2 linked regions of the Notamacropus eugenii genome follow. The protein of the gene in region 1 interacts with the protein of each later gene in a pairwise test. Links are inferred from orthologs where the notes say so. Each region holds a gene or a part of one and is shown on either strand. Other genes may lie near its edges. The genes, in order: ERLIN1 and anterior gradient protein 3-like.

Region 1 (7,782 bases):
TCTGGATGCTTTTCAAGCTGAGTCAGTATCCAGGCGTTTCAATCAGCCTGTGGCTGTGGTTAAGACTCAGTTAGGGGGTAAGATTAAGGGATCAGTGTGTTGCCAAGTCTGTGAGTCAGTGGTCAGGAATAAGGCTGGGTCTAGGACTGGAATTAGTTTTACAGGTTGTGCCTGAGAAAAGTCAATCTTGTACCCCATTTCAGCTTGTGGCCAAGGATCTGCCACCATCACCTCTATACAGATGAAGTCCTAAAACTTTATTCCTACCTTTACTATCTTCCCAGGTCCTAGGCCAATTTTTTCCAGTTGACTCATAGACATCTTCACCTGACTATCCAGTTGGTATTTTAATCTCAAAATATCCAAAGCTGAAATCAGTCTTTCTTTCTTCCCTATACCCAACCTGCCCTGCCCTTCCTTTTAACATGTTTCTCTCGATGATGTTACCATTTGTTCATTTATTTTTTACTTGAATAGTCTTGATAATTATCTCTCTCTGCAATATCTTTTGCTGTCTCCCTTCTCTCACCATCTATTGTAACATTGTTTTAGAGTCTCTTCTAGGTAATTTATTTAAATAGCCTCTTAATTGGTCTTCTTGCCCTGGTTTCATCTCCCCTCCATTTAAATTTATTTGCTTGTCTGAGTAATCTTTCTAACCCTAACCCACAGTGATCTAGTTATTTCTAATGACAATTAGCATTTGTCTGTCCCTTTAAAGTGTTCAGAGCGCTGTGTATACATTTTCTCATTTGCTCCTTGCCACAAAGCTATAAAGGTGGGGCCCTTGGAGATCTCTTCCATCTTTCCATCTATAATCCTGTGACTTCAAGTTCAACGGTTCTTTTCAACAACATGCTCAGTTGTTTCAGGTGCGTCTGAGTCTTCATTACCCCATTTGAGATTTTCTTGGTAAAGATCATGGAGTGGTTTGTCATTTCCTTCTTCAGCTCATTTTACAGATGAGGAAACTGATGCAAACAAGGTCAAATGACTTGCCCAGGGTCACACAACTAGTAAGTGTCTGAGGTAGCCTTTGAACTCAGCTCTGTCCTGATTCTACTGCTATCATATAGCTGCCTCAGCTCTCTCTACTGGGCTAAAAAAACCTTCTTCATTGCCTACCTACTAAAGTATAAACTGATCTTCACTTTCAAGGTTACCTACCATCTGGTTCCAATTTACTTCATAGCCTTATGTTTATGCTCATTCTCTCATTCTTATTCCACCTAGTCTGTCTCCTTGCCTGTTTGGTTATGTACACCCCCCAGTGGCTCTCACACAATGGACACTTCATGTTTGTTAGATTTGCATCTTTTTGAGAGGTAGCCTCAAATGGTGGGATGATCATGGGTTAGCCTTTTAGTGCCTCACACAACTCTCTGCAAATTAAAAAAATTGTATTTTGATATTTGAGGTATGGGGATTGGAGTCATATATATGTATATATATACACACACACATATATACACATATACACATACATACATACACACATGCATAAATACATATATACATACATACATATATATATAAAATTTCTGTGTTTGTCCTCCGTTTTCCAAGAAGACCATGCCATCAGAGAAATGATGACATGTCTTGCACTTGACTTTGTTTTGAGTGAGGGAGGGATGTGCAAGGTTACAAACCTCACTTTCTCTTCTGAACCATCCCATGTTCCTGAACCTATTATTCAAGTCCCTAAACAATTGGGAAGCACCATACCTGAAGGTCTCATCCAACTCTAGATCTACCTCTTGACATGACTTTGTATTTACTTATCTATGTCCTGGAAGCATGGCCCCATGGGAACAACTCTGGTTCTGGAGTCAGAAGAGCCTTCCTGGGTGGCTCCCCCTCTACAGCTCTCATTTCTTCCATGTTCCAGTGAGGGGAGTGCACTCAATGGCTTCTCACATCCTTTCTGCCCTAAAAGTATGAGGCTGGCTTTTACATTGGGATCCCAGAGACTCCTTGAAGGGAGGGACACTTTGTCTTAGTTTGCAGATTACCTAGCAAAGTACCTTGTACAGAACAGGCACTTGGTACTTATTGAACTGAATTGCCCTTAGATAGCTTAGAAGTACCATGATGTATTTATCTGTGTCCCACCTGCAACTTAGCCCAGAGGTGGAAGTGTCTGAGAAAATGCAGAATTGAAAAAGCTGGTGCAGATGCCGGGAGGCAGCAGCCCCTGGAAGTGGGAAGATGAGGCTTCAGTTCCTGGCCCAACTCCTCCTTTTACTCCTCTGGGCTGAGTGGACAAATACTCCACTGATTAAATCACAAGACCAGCTTAAAAACAACCACCAAACTAAGGACTTCTCCCAGGACATCTAGGTTGATTTCCCTAGAGTGCTGAGAGATTCGAAGACTGACTCAGGGTAACACAGTCAGGCGATGTCACAGGCAGAACTAGAACCCAGATCTCATGACTCCAAGGGCAGACCTTTATTCCCAGTGCTAAGCTGCCTCTCAACACTTGAGCTAGGTTTGAAAAGCAATGAAGGATGGGAATAAGCATTTGTATCCTACCTAATATGTGCTAGGCACTGTGCTAAGCACTTTATAAATAGCATCTCATTTGATCTTCACAACAACTATTTGAGGTATGTGTCATTATTATTCACATTTTAGAGTTGAGGAAACTGAGACAAACCTGATGTTAAGTGACTGGACCAGTTGCTAAGTATTTAAGGCTGGATTTCAACTTACTTCTTTCTGACTCAAGGCTCAGCACTGCTTTCACTTCGCTACCTAGTTTCCTGCTACATTGTGGAATACAAATGAATACAATCTGTCCTTACAAGCTACATAATGACACCCTTGGAATTTCCTCTTGTCAGACTACTTATTTATTAAGCACACACCCACAGTCCTGAGTCCTTCTGACTCTATGGTACAAAAGGCCCAGCTGAGGATACTTTCTCCCAATGTAGCTTGGTACCTTTGCAACACACAAAACCAGTACGTTTCAGGGGTAGGATTTGAACTCAGTCTTCCTGACTCTGGGGCCAGTTGTCTATCCATTGTGTCTTGCTGCCTTTTTCTTTTTTTTTTTGTTGGTACAAATTTTTAAAAAATTATTATCTTATTTGTTTTCACTGTTCTACAATCATTTCCATATATCTTAAATTTCCCCCCCTCCCTCCCCTCCCTCCCACTCCCTCCCTGAGAGGGCATAGTTTTATATAGGTTCTACACATACATTCCTATTAAATACATACCTTAGTCATGTTGCATAGAAGAATCAAAATGAATGGGAGAAACCATAAAACCAAAACATAATACAAAAGAAAATGATCTGCTTCATTCTGTGATCTGAATTCCATAGTTCTTTCTCTGGATGTGGAAGGCATTTTGCCTTAAGAAACGATTGGGAATTTTTTAAGTCTTTGCACTGCAAGAAGTACCAGAAAAAATTCCTTGCACACTGTGGTTGTTGCTGTGTATAAAGTTCTCCTGGTTCTGTTCCTTTCACTCAGCATCAGTTCATATAAGTCTTTCCAGGCCTCTCTGAAGCCTTCCTGTTCATCATTTCTTATTTGCTGCCTTTTTCTTTTCTAAGAGGAGATGAATGGGCATCTTACTTCTTGGTGTGTTGTCACATCTTTGAAAAACAAAGTTAACCCCTCCCACAAGATCACAGTGAGGAATTTCCACTCCCATTTCTGAGTTGTAACACAAGCAAGATCATCCAAGTTTTTTCTCTCATATATAATAAGTTGTTAAAAATTCATTTAACTTTTGTTTCAAATTCTTTTCCTCCCTGTAAGCTTGCTCCCACACACTGAGAAGGCAAATATATGATACTCCCATAATAAAACATAATAATTGTTTTAATCATTTAAAATAGTCTAATATGTCCAAGCATGAACTTAAGCCTGTTCAACAAGCATTTATTGGCAGTTAATAACTATAAGTTCAACTGAGCTAAAATCGAAATATAAGAAGCAAACCCATCCTCCAGGAATAAAACAAAAAGAAACCCTCCCCCCTACTTCCCCCCCCTCCCCACTTTCCCCCCTTCCAAGCAAACCTTTTGTTTAGGAGAGGAGTTACAATAAAACTTGAATGAAAAGAAATGGATGTTTGTTCACTTCAAGTCCTTATATCTATCAGAATTATCAGTTGCATAATTACTATTTCTTTTTCATAACTTTCACTGCAACTTAGTGAGAAGTTTCTGCAAAAGAAAGAAATGAATTTGACATACCAGACACTTCCAGTGGTTTGTTGAAATCTCTGTTTCATTTGATTCATTCCTTTCTTATACATGCATATATGTATGAAAGTATGCTTGTTCAGAGAAGGCAGGCAGAATCTTAATCTTTATTGGATCGACTGGGCAGCTGGGAAGGTGGATGGCAGGCAAAGCTGAGGGGCTGCCCACCTAGCTGTTTGCTCTATCCCACAGCTCCCTAGTGAAAGAGAAAACCTCCCAGAAATTGACATGGTGCACAGGAGCTTCAGGGTCTATGTCCCTGCCCCACCCTTCCTCGGAAGCAGGCCTCCCACGCCTGTGCCACGTGGATCTAGGCTCCTATCCTAACATCCCCACCAGGGGGAGACAAACCCAAGCAACGCGCATCGAGAGCGAGAGACCAGTTTTGTCTCGGCTCACTCGCCGTCTCCCCCTTTTGACCGTACAGGATGTGACCGCGCATGCGTATACCGGGCGCCTGCGCAGAAGCGCGGGACTGTGGGCCCGCCGGCGGTTGTGGGCGGCCGGTGGTCCCTGGCAAGGTGGGCGACGAGCTCGGCGCGTCGCCGGGGAGATGCGCAGCCGATCGGTGAGACTGGGGGCGGGCGGGGAGGGCGGGAGGCAGAGGCATCCTCCCTCCTCAGGGGGCTGTACCTGAGGGGGAGGCGGCATCCGCGGGGCAGGGGGCGTCACTGAGGGGCGCGGCCGTCACAAGCCACCTCCGCCGAGGCGGGGGCCGGGCACCCCGGTCCCCCAGGTTGTCCCGAAGGGCGGGGCTGCCCGCCCGGGCCCGAGGCTGAGGGGAGGCAGGGAGCAGAGGCGATGTCAGGCAGGGGCGGGGGCTGCCGCCGGGGAGAAAGCAGGTGTGGGGGGCCCGGTAGAGGAGGTGCCCGATGGGGTCATCTAGTCCAGCTCCTGCTCGGACTGGCGACCTGCAGCCCCTGGCGCTCCCCACCGGGAAGCCGAAGCCCAGGCCTTCTCTGGGGGAGGGACGTGGATGACTTGTACCCGAGAGCGGAGGGGGTGGGAGGGAGAGGAGTTGCTGAGAACTTGCTGGAAGAGACCGGATTTGAACTCGGGTCCTCCTGACTCCCGGGCCGGTGCTCCGTTCCCTGGGCCACCTAGCCGCCTCTAAGCAGGTCATCTGGCTACACAGTCAGCCTTCTTTTCCAGGGCAGTCTGGAGGGTGGTGGCTGCAGAGGAGCAGGCGACCACTCACTAGCGGGGATGATCAGTGAGGGGTGGGGCAAGAATGGCCGGAAGGGAGGGTCAGAGGCTGATGTGAGGGGGTGTCCCGGAGGGCAGTTTGTGTCTCTTCGGTCAGTCGGAGTCCAGGGGGAGTATTGAGGCTGAGCCACTCCTTAGGTGATAGGAAGTCATGGAGGAGGGGGAGATCACTAAGGGTGGACTTAGTCACAGAGAGAGAAGGAAGAGTCACTTGGGATTCCCTGTTTCTTTGCCCCTGAGAAGCAGGACTGAAAAGTGGATATCCTGACGGGAGAGAGTTTGCCACTAGACTTGGAAGACTCAGGGCTGTCCAGCTTCCACCTGACACTGTGTGACCACGGACAGTTCCCTGGCTTCCCTGACACTATCCCTTAGGGATAAGGATACCTATAGTCCTTACTTCCTAGCATTGCTGTTAGAATTAAGTGAGATAAGTTGTATGTGAAGCTGGCTACATTAAGAGACTGTACATTAATGTCAGCCGTTATAAGGACTGTCTGAGGCAAAGTGGAGGGACCATTTGTCAGGAATAGACATTGTCATTGAAGGGGAAGGAAAAATTATCACTTAAGAGAGTGGGCGTTTCTGGAGGTGTCTCTGGAGGAGAAGGGGAGTAGGAGGTTTTTTTTTTTTTACTGAACCAGAAGGTTCGGTCACAGGTAGGAGTGAGGATCCTCACAGTGAAGAGTGAGGGGAGACCATGTTAAGGCTAGTGACTTTGTAGATGGGTGTGTTGCTGAGGGGGGATAAGTAGGGTAGGAGATGTCTGATCAGACTGAAATTCATTGAGGGAGGAAAGAAAGAGTATCGTTGAAAGGGAGATTCTAGAAAAGAGGGATTATTGGTAAAGAGGAAGTGTCTTGGGAAAATTGCTGTTAACTGAAGGAAAAAGGTATTTGTCAGGAGATGTTGTAATTGAGAGAGATAGAGATTGTCCTTGAGGGATGGATGGGGTGGCTGGGTGGGGTTCATTTAGAATTATTGAGTGAGAAAAAGGGGGTTGGAGAGGGAAGGGGGAGTGAACTGGTGGGCTGAATGGAAAAGATGTGATAAGTGGGTAATGGAGGATTTTGTGGGAATAGCTGTTGGGGAAGAGGGAGGTCACTGGAAATAAGGGTGGAATTATGGTGGGTTTTGGGCAATGGGTGGGTCAGAGAAGAAGGGACCATTTCTATGAGGGTGCAGATGAGGGAGGGGAGGAAGAGAGGCTCCTTTGGAGACCTAGACTTCTCAACATTGGTTATAGAGAGGGGACTGGACCATCTGGGGAAAGGGAGATCAGAACTATTGGTTCGCTCCTCATATAGGAAGAGCCAGGATGAATATGACTCAAGCCGGGGCTCTGGGGGCTGCAGCTGCAGGGCTGGTGGTGGTTCTCCTCTACGCCTCCATCCACAGGATCGAGGAGGGACACCTTGCTGTGTACTACAGGTGAGTGCCAGGTCATGGGAGCCCAACAGACCAGTGTGTACATCCAGCCTAGGTTATCCAACAAAGACAGCTATGATCCCTGGGAATTTGGAAGTTGTCCTTACTACAGTATTGTCTCAGAGTCCTGGAATTGGGTTGATTATCATCAAGCAACCTTTGTGAAGTACATAGTACTGCGGGGGGCGGTGCCACCGACATTGGTTACAACTGGTTTGACTTTTACACACTGCAGAGGCCCAGGGTTGTCCTTGAGCCTCAGTGGCATTCAGTGTTTGTGGGGCTGGTACTCTTATTTGTTTGTTAGCTTCTTCCTGACAACCTTTTTCTCCAGGAGTTTTCCTGAATCTGATCACTCTAAACAGTGACCATAACACATTATGGCTAAGAAGGATGAGATGCAGATAAATGTGTAAATAGTTTTGGGTACACTCTACTTTTCCTCCTTTTCAGCCTGTGTTAGTCTAGCTTACAGGGTAAGGGGAAAATAGTGTGGAAAATTTAGTTTCTCTTAGATGTTATTGCCAGCACTTCTCACAGAGATCTGTTATCTACAGGGAGATCAGTCAATGGAGGCCTTGGGCAGAGAGTTAATTAAAAGAGTATTACCACTCCCAGTTTCAGTGTATCCTTTCTCCTAACTCTTGAGTTGAACACATTTTTCTAATTGAGGACATAGACATACTTTAAACAAGCTTGTTTTTGAATATTTTTACAGGTAGGTCACTATAGGGGTAATTTGGTAGAAGAAATGACAAACTGTGACTAGTAGTTAGGAATGGTATTTTGTTTCAAATTAACAATGACTTGGATGTACCATCCAAGATCTAGGCTTATCAGGTTAGAGTTCCTGCAAATATTCCATTTCCCATAAAATTGCCAAGATTTGATTATCCATATATTTGTTATAAAACCTGTTTGCA
Region 2 (7,083 bases), on another chromosome or scaffold:
GGGATAGTAAGATGTCTGCCAATTCTTTACTTTCCTGAAACATACTCCCCCAAGAAAATTGCCATCCTCCATATGACAAGTCTAGGTATGTCCCTGTGCCTTGCTCCCCCAAGTCAAAGTCTGGGAGCTAGTTACCTGATAACTAAAATGGAGCCACTGTGGCTTTGCCTCAAAGTAGGAAACATAAAGAATTTAGAGACTGAGAAAAATGCTGGCTAAGGAGCAGAGAAGAGAAGCGGTTGGATCCCTGGGCTTCTGGGGCAGTAGACTTCAGTTTGGTTACTGCTTCCTGCCCTCGCTCTCACCATCCTACAAAGAACTCCCCAGTTCATTCTGCCAAATCCCCCCTTCTTTTCGCACCAAGCAAAGTTTTACTTTCCCAACTTCTTTCACATAGCTAAATCAGGGCAAAAATCCTCTCCCTCCAGATTTGTGGATCAGAACCTTCCTAAAGCCTTTCTGGTGGACTCAAAGAATCCTAGGATTCCAAGTCCATTGACCAGTGTGTGGTTCTTCCCTCATTGAGCAAGACTTTGTCCTAATTCATCTTCCTTCTGACTTGAATCACTTCTTGCATTATTTTCCTTTTTGAATTGGGGAAGTGGGTTGGGGGTGGGTAGCACCCCAGTTCTGATCCAGGAACTGAGAATGGTCCTAATAGCCCTTGTATTCCCTGCTAGGGGAGAAGTGTCTGTTTCAAGAGGCTCCAAAACCGCAGCTGCCACTTTCTTTTCCATCTGAACCATGGACAAACCACTAAGCAAGTTTCCTCTTTTCAAAGATGGGGCCAGTGAGAACAGCAGCAAGACTCAGAGAAAGCAATGCATCTGAATGCAGGATACCTGGTTTCCAATTCTGCCCCAAGCCCTTCTTCCCCTTGCAAAGGCAGCTAGCCAAGGTGAAAGGAGCTAGAGGATGCTCACAAGCTACGAGATTCTGGGCAAACCATTTAGCCATTATGTGTCTGAGCTTCTCCATCTGAAAAATGAAGCTAATAATAGCACTTACTTCCCAGACTTACTGGGAGACTAAATTATAAAGCACTTTGTTTTAAAGGGCTATATACATGCTAGCTATATTTAAAAATGTTTTTTCTTAAACTACAGAAAAGCTTTCCCCTTTCTGTCTCTTTGGGCCTCAGTTTCCTCATCTTTAAAAGGAAGAGGTGTACTAAATGACTTCTGAAAGACCTTCCAGCCCAAGATCCATGGAGGCAAAGATATGTACCTGTTGAAATGAGCTGCAGGGTTGCTATTAGAGTCATATGAGATCATGGACATGAAGAGTTCTAGAGAAGTGAGTTGTAATCCGGAAAAATAAAGTCACTGATCACATCATAATAAAAGGGCATGCTTGTCTTCATCTACTTGAAAGTCACCCAGTCAAATTGGGAGGAAAATGCCTGATTAACTAAGAAGAATTCATTCCATTTGTGATCTAACAGGGAGGGGTGACCTGCTTGCCAAAGGGCTAGGCTTAATGCAAAGCTGCTTTTGAATAATTCAAGAGAATAGAAATGCTCAAGGATGCTTATGCATTTATGGAAACAAAAATCTTCGAATGTTTAAATAAAAAGGCAAATTCTCTTTGTTTTCAGATTTTTAAAGAATTTGTCTACAATAGACACCCAACTCCCCTATCAAAGAGCTATCTTGACAAAATATGCTATTCTCCTTCATGCCTCTGGTGGAATGGTCCCAAAGAAGTAATGTTGATTTTAGAATCAGACGACATGGGACCCGCATCATAGGTCTGCCATTAAGAGTCTGTGTGATTTGGGGGAATCACTTCTCCCCGTTGGCCTCCATTTCTTATCTGTAAAATGAGGGGTCAGTCTAAAGGACATCGATCATCCTTTCTAGTTCCATCGATGTCTGCTCTTACATCATCATAGATTTAGACCCGGGAAGCACTTTAGGGAATGTTCAGTCCAGCAGTCTCAGTTGGTGGATAAGAATTCTAAAGTTAGTCTCATAGATTGGGAGGGAAAGAAACTTGGAGATCATTGAGTCCTAATTGTTCACTTCAAAGATGAGGAAATGGAGACTCTGGGAAACAAGGTCCCCCAGGTTAAGCACCAAGGTGGGGTTTGAAGGGAGAGGCTCGGCCTCAGTGTCCTGGGTTCTTATCACTAGCCCCGCCTCTAAGTTGCCTCAAAATTGAGGGGAGGAGGGGGTAGCTGTAAAGCACAGATGTGAAATATGAGGGAAAGAATCTGTTCTTCATCTTTTACATGATTTTCTACAATAAAAGACATAATTTGCCCCCCAGAGTAGCCAGAGAGGCTCCCTAGATGTCCTATCAGCAACACAAATACCATGTTTTCAACAAGACTCTTTCTACCTTTCCCTTCAAACCTGTCTCTCCTCCAAGCTTCCCTGTTTCAGCAGAGGATGCCTCAATTCTTCCAGTTACCCAAAGTTACCCTGTGTCTCTCACTTTCTCTCACTCCACATACCCCATTCATTCTATCAGCAGAACAGGTCTTTTCCCTATGGTTGTCCCCACTCTCACAGCCCCCACCTTATATGACCATTCCTTCTTAGTCTCCATTGGGAAATCTTCCTCCAAGTTATGTCTATTCATTGGGAACACATTATCTCTCCTCTGGACTATTAGAGTAGCTTTCTTTCTAATTGGCTTTCTGGTCTCACAATCCAGCCTCCACAGAGGTTCCAAAGCCTGGATCAGGCCCCTGCTAAAATGTTCAGTATCTTCCTACTACGTCAATGATAAAATACAAAATGCTCAGCCTTCCACATTAGCTTCCTCCTCTATTTCTTGACTTATTACCCCCATTCAAGCACTCCATTCTGGTCCAACTACTCTACTAGCACTCCTGAAACACAACATCCCTATGTCCCATGCCTTTACCTTGACACAGGGGGGGCCTCCTTGCCTGGAATGATCTCCCACCTCATTTAGACCCTTTAGAATTCCCAGCTTCCTCCAAAGTCCAATCCAGGTATCATATCACCTTTTTACACAGTATTTCCTGAACCTGCCCACTATGAGTGCTCCCCCCCACCTCAAAACTACTGTGTATATGTGTTGTATCTGCTCATCTGGATTAATACTGTATTCATGAGTGGAATTTACATTCCTTAAAAGCAAGAACTCTAGACTTTATTAATAGTAGTAGTGATGATAATAATAGCTAGTGTATGTACATATAAATAATAAAGGGATAGATACTCCAAGGGGAGAGACAGAAAGGAGGAAGAAAGAGAGAGACAGAGACAGAGAGAGAGAGAGACAGTCAGAGAGACAGAGAGAGAGGGAGAGAGAGAGAGAGAGAGAGAGAGAGAGAGAGAGAGAGAGAGAGAGAGAGAGAGAGAGAGAGAGAGAGAATGTAACATTTCCGTGGGCTAACTCATTTGTCTTTATATCCCCAGTGTCAAGGAAAATGACCAGCAATCATTGGTGGTTAATAAGTATTACTTGAATGGAAAAGAACACACTAGAATGTACAATGACATTTTCAGTAGCTTTTGGGAAGAGAAGACTTAAGTTACTCCAACCACACACAGACTTTGGCTCCCCAGCATCCAAAGTAAAACGGAGCTCCTTAGAAACTGTGAATTATATACCTTTCACTCTCTGAATTCCGCACACGTGCATATTATCATCTCTTTCAAAGCTGAGGCCTTCGGTGACTTGGGCTTTTCTGACTGGCTGTTCAATCACTCTTCTCAAGTAGAGAACATCAAGGTCTCCTCTCAAATAAGCTGCCAGCTTTGGAGAGATAGGAAGGACCTGATTAGACCTGTCTGGCTCCCTTGGCAGAGTAAACTCATTAAATACGCAGGAGCAGCAATACATATGACTGTTGCTGTTACAGGAATCTTAGAGGGAACTGATGTCCATGGGAGGATCAAAAGTAGTTTCCTGATTTTCCTCTCGAGATAATTATATCATCCTTGTTCCAGAACAATTAGTCTAGCTCTCTGCTCATTAGTTTTAATGAGTCACATGGATGAATGGAGAAACAGGTGGGGAATTGGCTCTCCTTTGATCTCAGGATCTTTTTCCAGGCTTCTGACTATGATCACTTGCATGGGAGTAAGTCTGCATGGAACATAAGAGATCCATGTGGGCTGCGGACAGTGGGCGGCCAACACCAACAGCTGCCTGGAGAAGAACAGACCCAGAATGTGGGTTCACCCAGCAGGTGGAGACCAGTGCAGCTGGAGAAGAGCCTGGCAAGCTCATTGTCACAAGTGCCCAGGTCTGGGGCCTTACCCACATGTTGTCCAGCCTCCCTTGGCTCCTGCGTCAACAATGTCTCTGCACCAAGGGTTTGGGAATTGGAAATAACCCTGATGAGCATCTAATCCAGTTGTTTTATTTTACAGTTAAAGAAACTAAGGCTGAGAGAGGGGAAATCAGAGATGTGACCAGGGTTGAGAGACAGTGAATTAAGGAAGTCAGAAAAGCAGTGAGAGATGTAATGGAAGGAATGACTGTTCAGTGCAGCATCAGAATTGAGAAGGAAGGACATGGTTATTGAAAGGGGAATGGGCCTTGAGCAGCCTAGAAACAAAATAAAGCTTAGAACATCTTAGCAAAAACCAAAAAACTAGAATACAGTAGCAGGGATTGGCCCAATGGTGACCGGACTCACAGGAGTTCACTGCCATCCCATCCCATTGTGGTAGTCATTCTTCCCAAATGGCACCAAGTTCTCTTTGAATTATTTGCAAAGGGGGATGTAACAACTGGCCGCTCTACCACTCAACTCAGGGCACAGCAGTGCCTTGGGATCCATAGTCATCTGACTAGAAAGAAATTGGATTTCTGCTGTTGAGGACCCAAAACTCTTGATGGCAATAATAATGATAACTGTTGGTCTTTCTGTTTTCCATTTTGATTATGACAATAGAAGCAAGGATTGTGAATAACAATCACATTTATAGAGAGCTTAAAGGTTTATGAAATACTTTTTTCACAACATAGCTCCAAGTTGAAATACAAATGCAAATGACCCCATTTTAGAGATTAGGAAACTGAATCTCAGAGGGACTTAAGTGATTTGCCCAGGATCAACACAGCCAAAGACTTGTCAGTCAAAATTTGAACTTGAAAATCTTTGACTTCACTGTCCGGATACTCCTTTGGCCATCAGTCCTCTGTCTTTGATGCCCCCACTAAGGTGGTTTGTTGTTCAAGCTCTGGACTTGGAATCAGGAAAGTATGGCTAGAAGTCCTGCCTCAGACACTTAAAAGATGGTGACTCTCAGAAAATCATTTAATATCTGTATGCCTCAGTTTACTCATCTATATACTGGGGAAGAGGCCACCACCATGGTTTAAAAGTTCCTTTTCATCTTTAACCAATGATCCTAGGATCTCTCTGTTGTCTTTCCCACTTAGAAATTGTTTTCACTTCCATGGCCCTACTTCTTTCCCCTACAGATAACAGTCATATGACTATCTTCAACCCAGTATTCCTATGCCACATCTACAGTTACCAGTTTGATAATGCCACAAATATAACCCCATAATAGTGCTGCTGGGGAGAAAGTCCACTCATTCTTCTTCAGGACTGATCTGATCATTAGCATCACCTCTTGGACCCTTCTCCCACTGCCCCTCATTCGGCTCATCTCCTCCTCACCCCACCTTCCCAGGGCCAAGAAGCATGAGGCTAGCCCCTCTCTCACATGACAGACCTTCAAATAGCTGACGACACTTAACAACACCTCCCCCCACCCCAGCATCTGCAGACAAATTGAAAGCAAACTCCTCTTTTCTCTCAAAATCAGTTCCCCCTCCCAGCTTCCCTATTTCTTTGAGTGCTGACGTCCTTTTCTCCGTCACCCAAGCTCAAAACCTGGAAGTCTTCTCCAAGCCTTCCTTCTTCTTTGACCCTCCAACAGTCAATTCATTTTCAAGTCCCAGACATCCCTCTTTGAGTCAAGTCCCAGCCGTCCCTCTCTTGAATCCATACATTTCTTCCTATACCCATGGCCACCGCTCTAGTTCAGGACTTTCCTGTACTCTCATAGTAGAATCTTCATTGGTCTCTGTCTCCAGCTCTCACATCTCTTGATCCATCCTGAAAACTGCTGCCAACCTAATGCTCTTAAGTGGGCATTTTGATCATCTCACCCTGCTGCTCAGCGATTACGAATGTGTACCTACTGTTTCCCTGGCGAAGCGTTGTAGACCCATTTTGCCCGTAGAGCCTCACCACCAATTCCTATGACATTGAAATTAGCCTATTAGCTGTTCCCCAAACATTTCAGACACTGTCTCACAACCACATCTTTTTTTATCCTGTTCTCCATGTCTTTCTTGCATCTTTCTCCATTCTTTCTAATAATCAAAATGCTATTAATTTTTAAATACTCCATAAAACCTTCTTCATTCAGGAAACCTTTCCAGACTACAGAGATAATAACACCCCACATTGAGATACCTGTTTAAGGTTTTCAAAGCACTCTCTGTGTATCTGAACCTCACAAAAGCCATGTGAGGGATATGCTACAGGTATCTCAAATTGGCACATGTGGAAACTGAGTCTCTGAGAGTTTTAATGAGCTGCCTATGGTGATACAAGTCATCTTAAGTCAACAGACATTCACTAAGTGCTTACTATGTGACAGGGCCTGTGTTAAGCCCTGAGGATGCAAAGAGATGCAAAAATAGTCCCTTTTCTTCAGTGGCTCACATTCTAATGGGGGAGAATACACATAAATGACTGATTGCATACTTTGGCTGAGACTACATGTAAATAACTATGAGATACACCCGGCATAGAAGGAAGGTAATCTCAGAGTGAAGACACTTGGAGTGAGGGTATGAGGGAAAGCCACCAACAGAAGGTACGATTCCAGCAGAACCTTGAAGGAAACCACGGAAGCCCCAGAGGGAGATGAAGAGGGACAGAAGACGAAAAGGCATATCATCAAGAGATGGGGCATTATGTTAGAGAAATATCAGGACGGCCAAGGTCACTGGATCTCAGAGTATGTACAGAGGGTTAAGCCATGAAAAAAAAAAAGAAATCAAAGTTGTTAAGAGCTTTGAAAGCCAAACTGAGGATTTTGTGATTGATGCTGGAGGTAATGGGGAGCTGTT

Evidence for each region.
Region 2: the proteins of ERLIN1 (region 1) and anterior gradient protein 3-like interact in binary tests that used the Homo sapiens proteins (3 or more experiments, as listed by UniProt). The two-hybrid records come from large-scale screens. The link is inferred for Notamacropus eugenii from reciprocal best matches to the Homo sapiens genes ERLIN1 and AGR3.

Annotation. Positions count from the first base shown.
Region 1 is NC_092872.1:249,189,477-249,197,258, reverse strand, and holds the start of ERLIN1 (erlin-1), read left to right. Parts: upstream 1-4,671; 5' UTR 4,672-4,793; intron 4,794-5,253; exon of another isoform or gene 5,254-5,343; intron 5,344-5,517; exon of another isoform or gene 5,518-6,323; intron 6,324-6,738; 5' UTR 6,739-6,749; coding exon 6,750-6,862; intron 6,863-7,782. UniProt on the Homo sapiens protein: Component of the ERLIN1/ERLIN2 complex which mediates the endoplasmic reticulum-associated degradation (ERAD) of inositol 1,4,5-trisphosphate receptors (IP3Rs).
Region 2 is NC_092874.1:9,828,321-9,835,403, reverse strand, and holds the start of anterior gradient protein 3-like, read left to right. Parts: upstream 1-4,072; coding exon 4,073-4,220; intron 4,221-7,083. UniProt on the Homo sapiens protein: Required for calcium-mediated regulation of ciliary beat frequency and mucociliary clearance in the airway. Might be involved in the regulation of intracellular calcium in tracheal epithelial cells.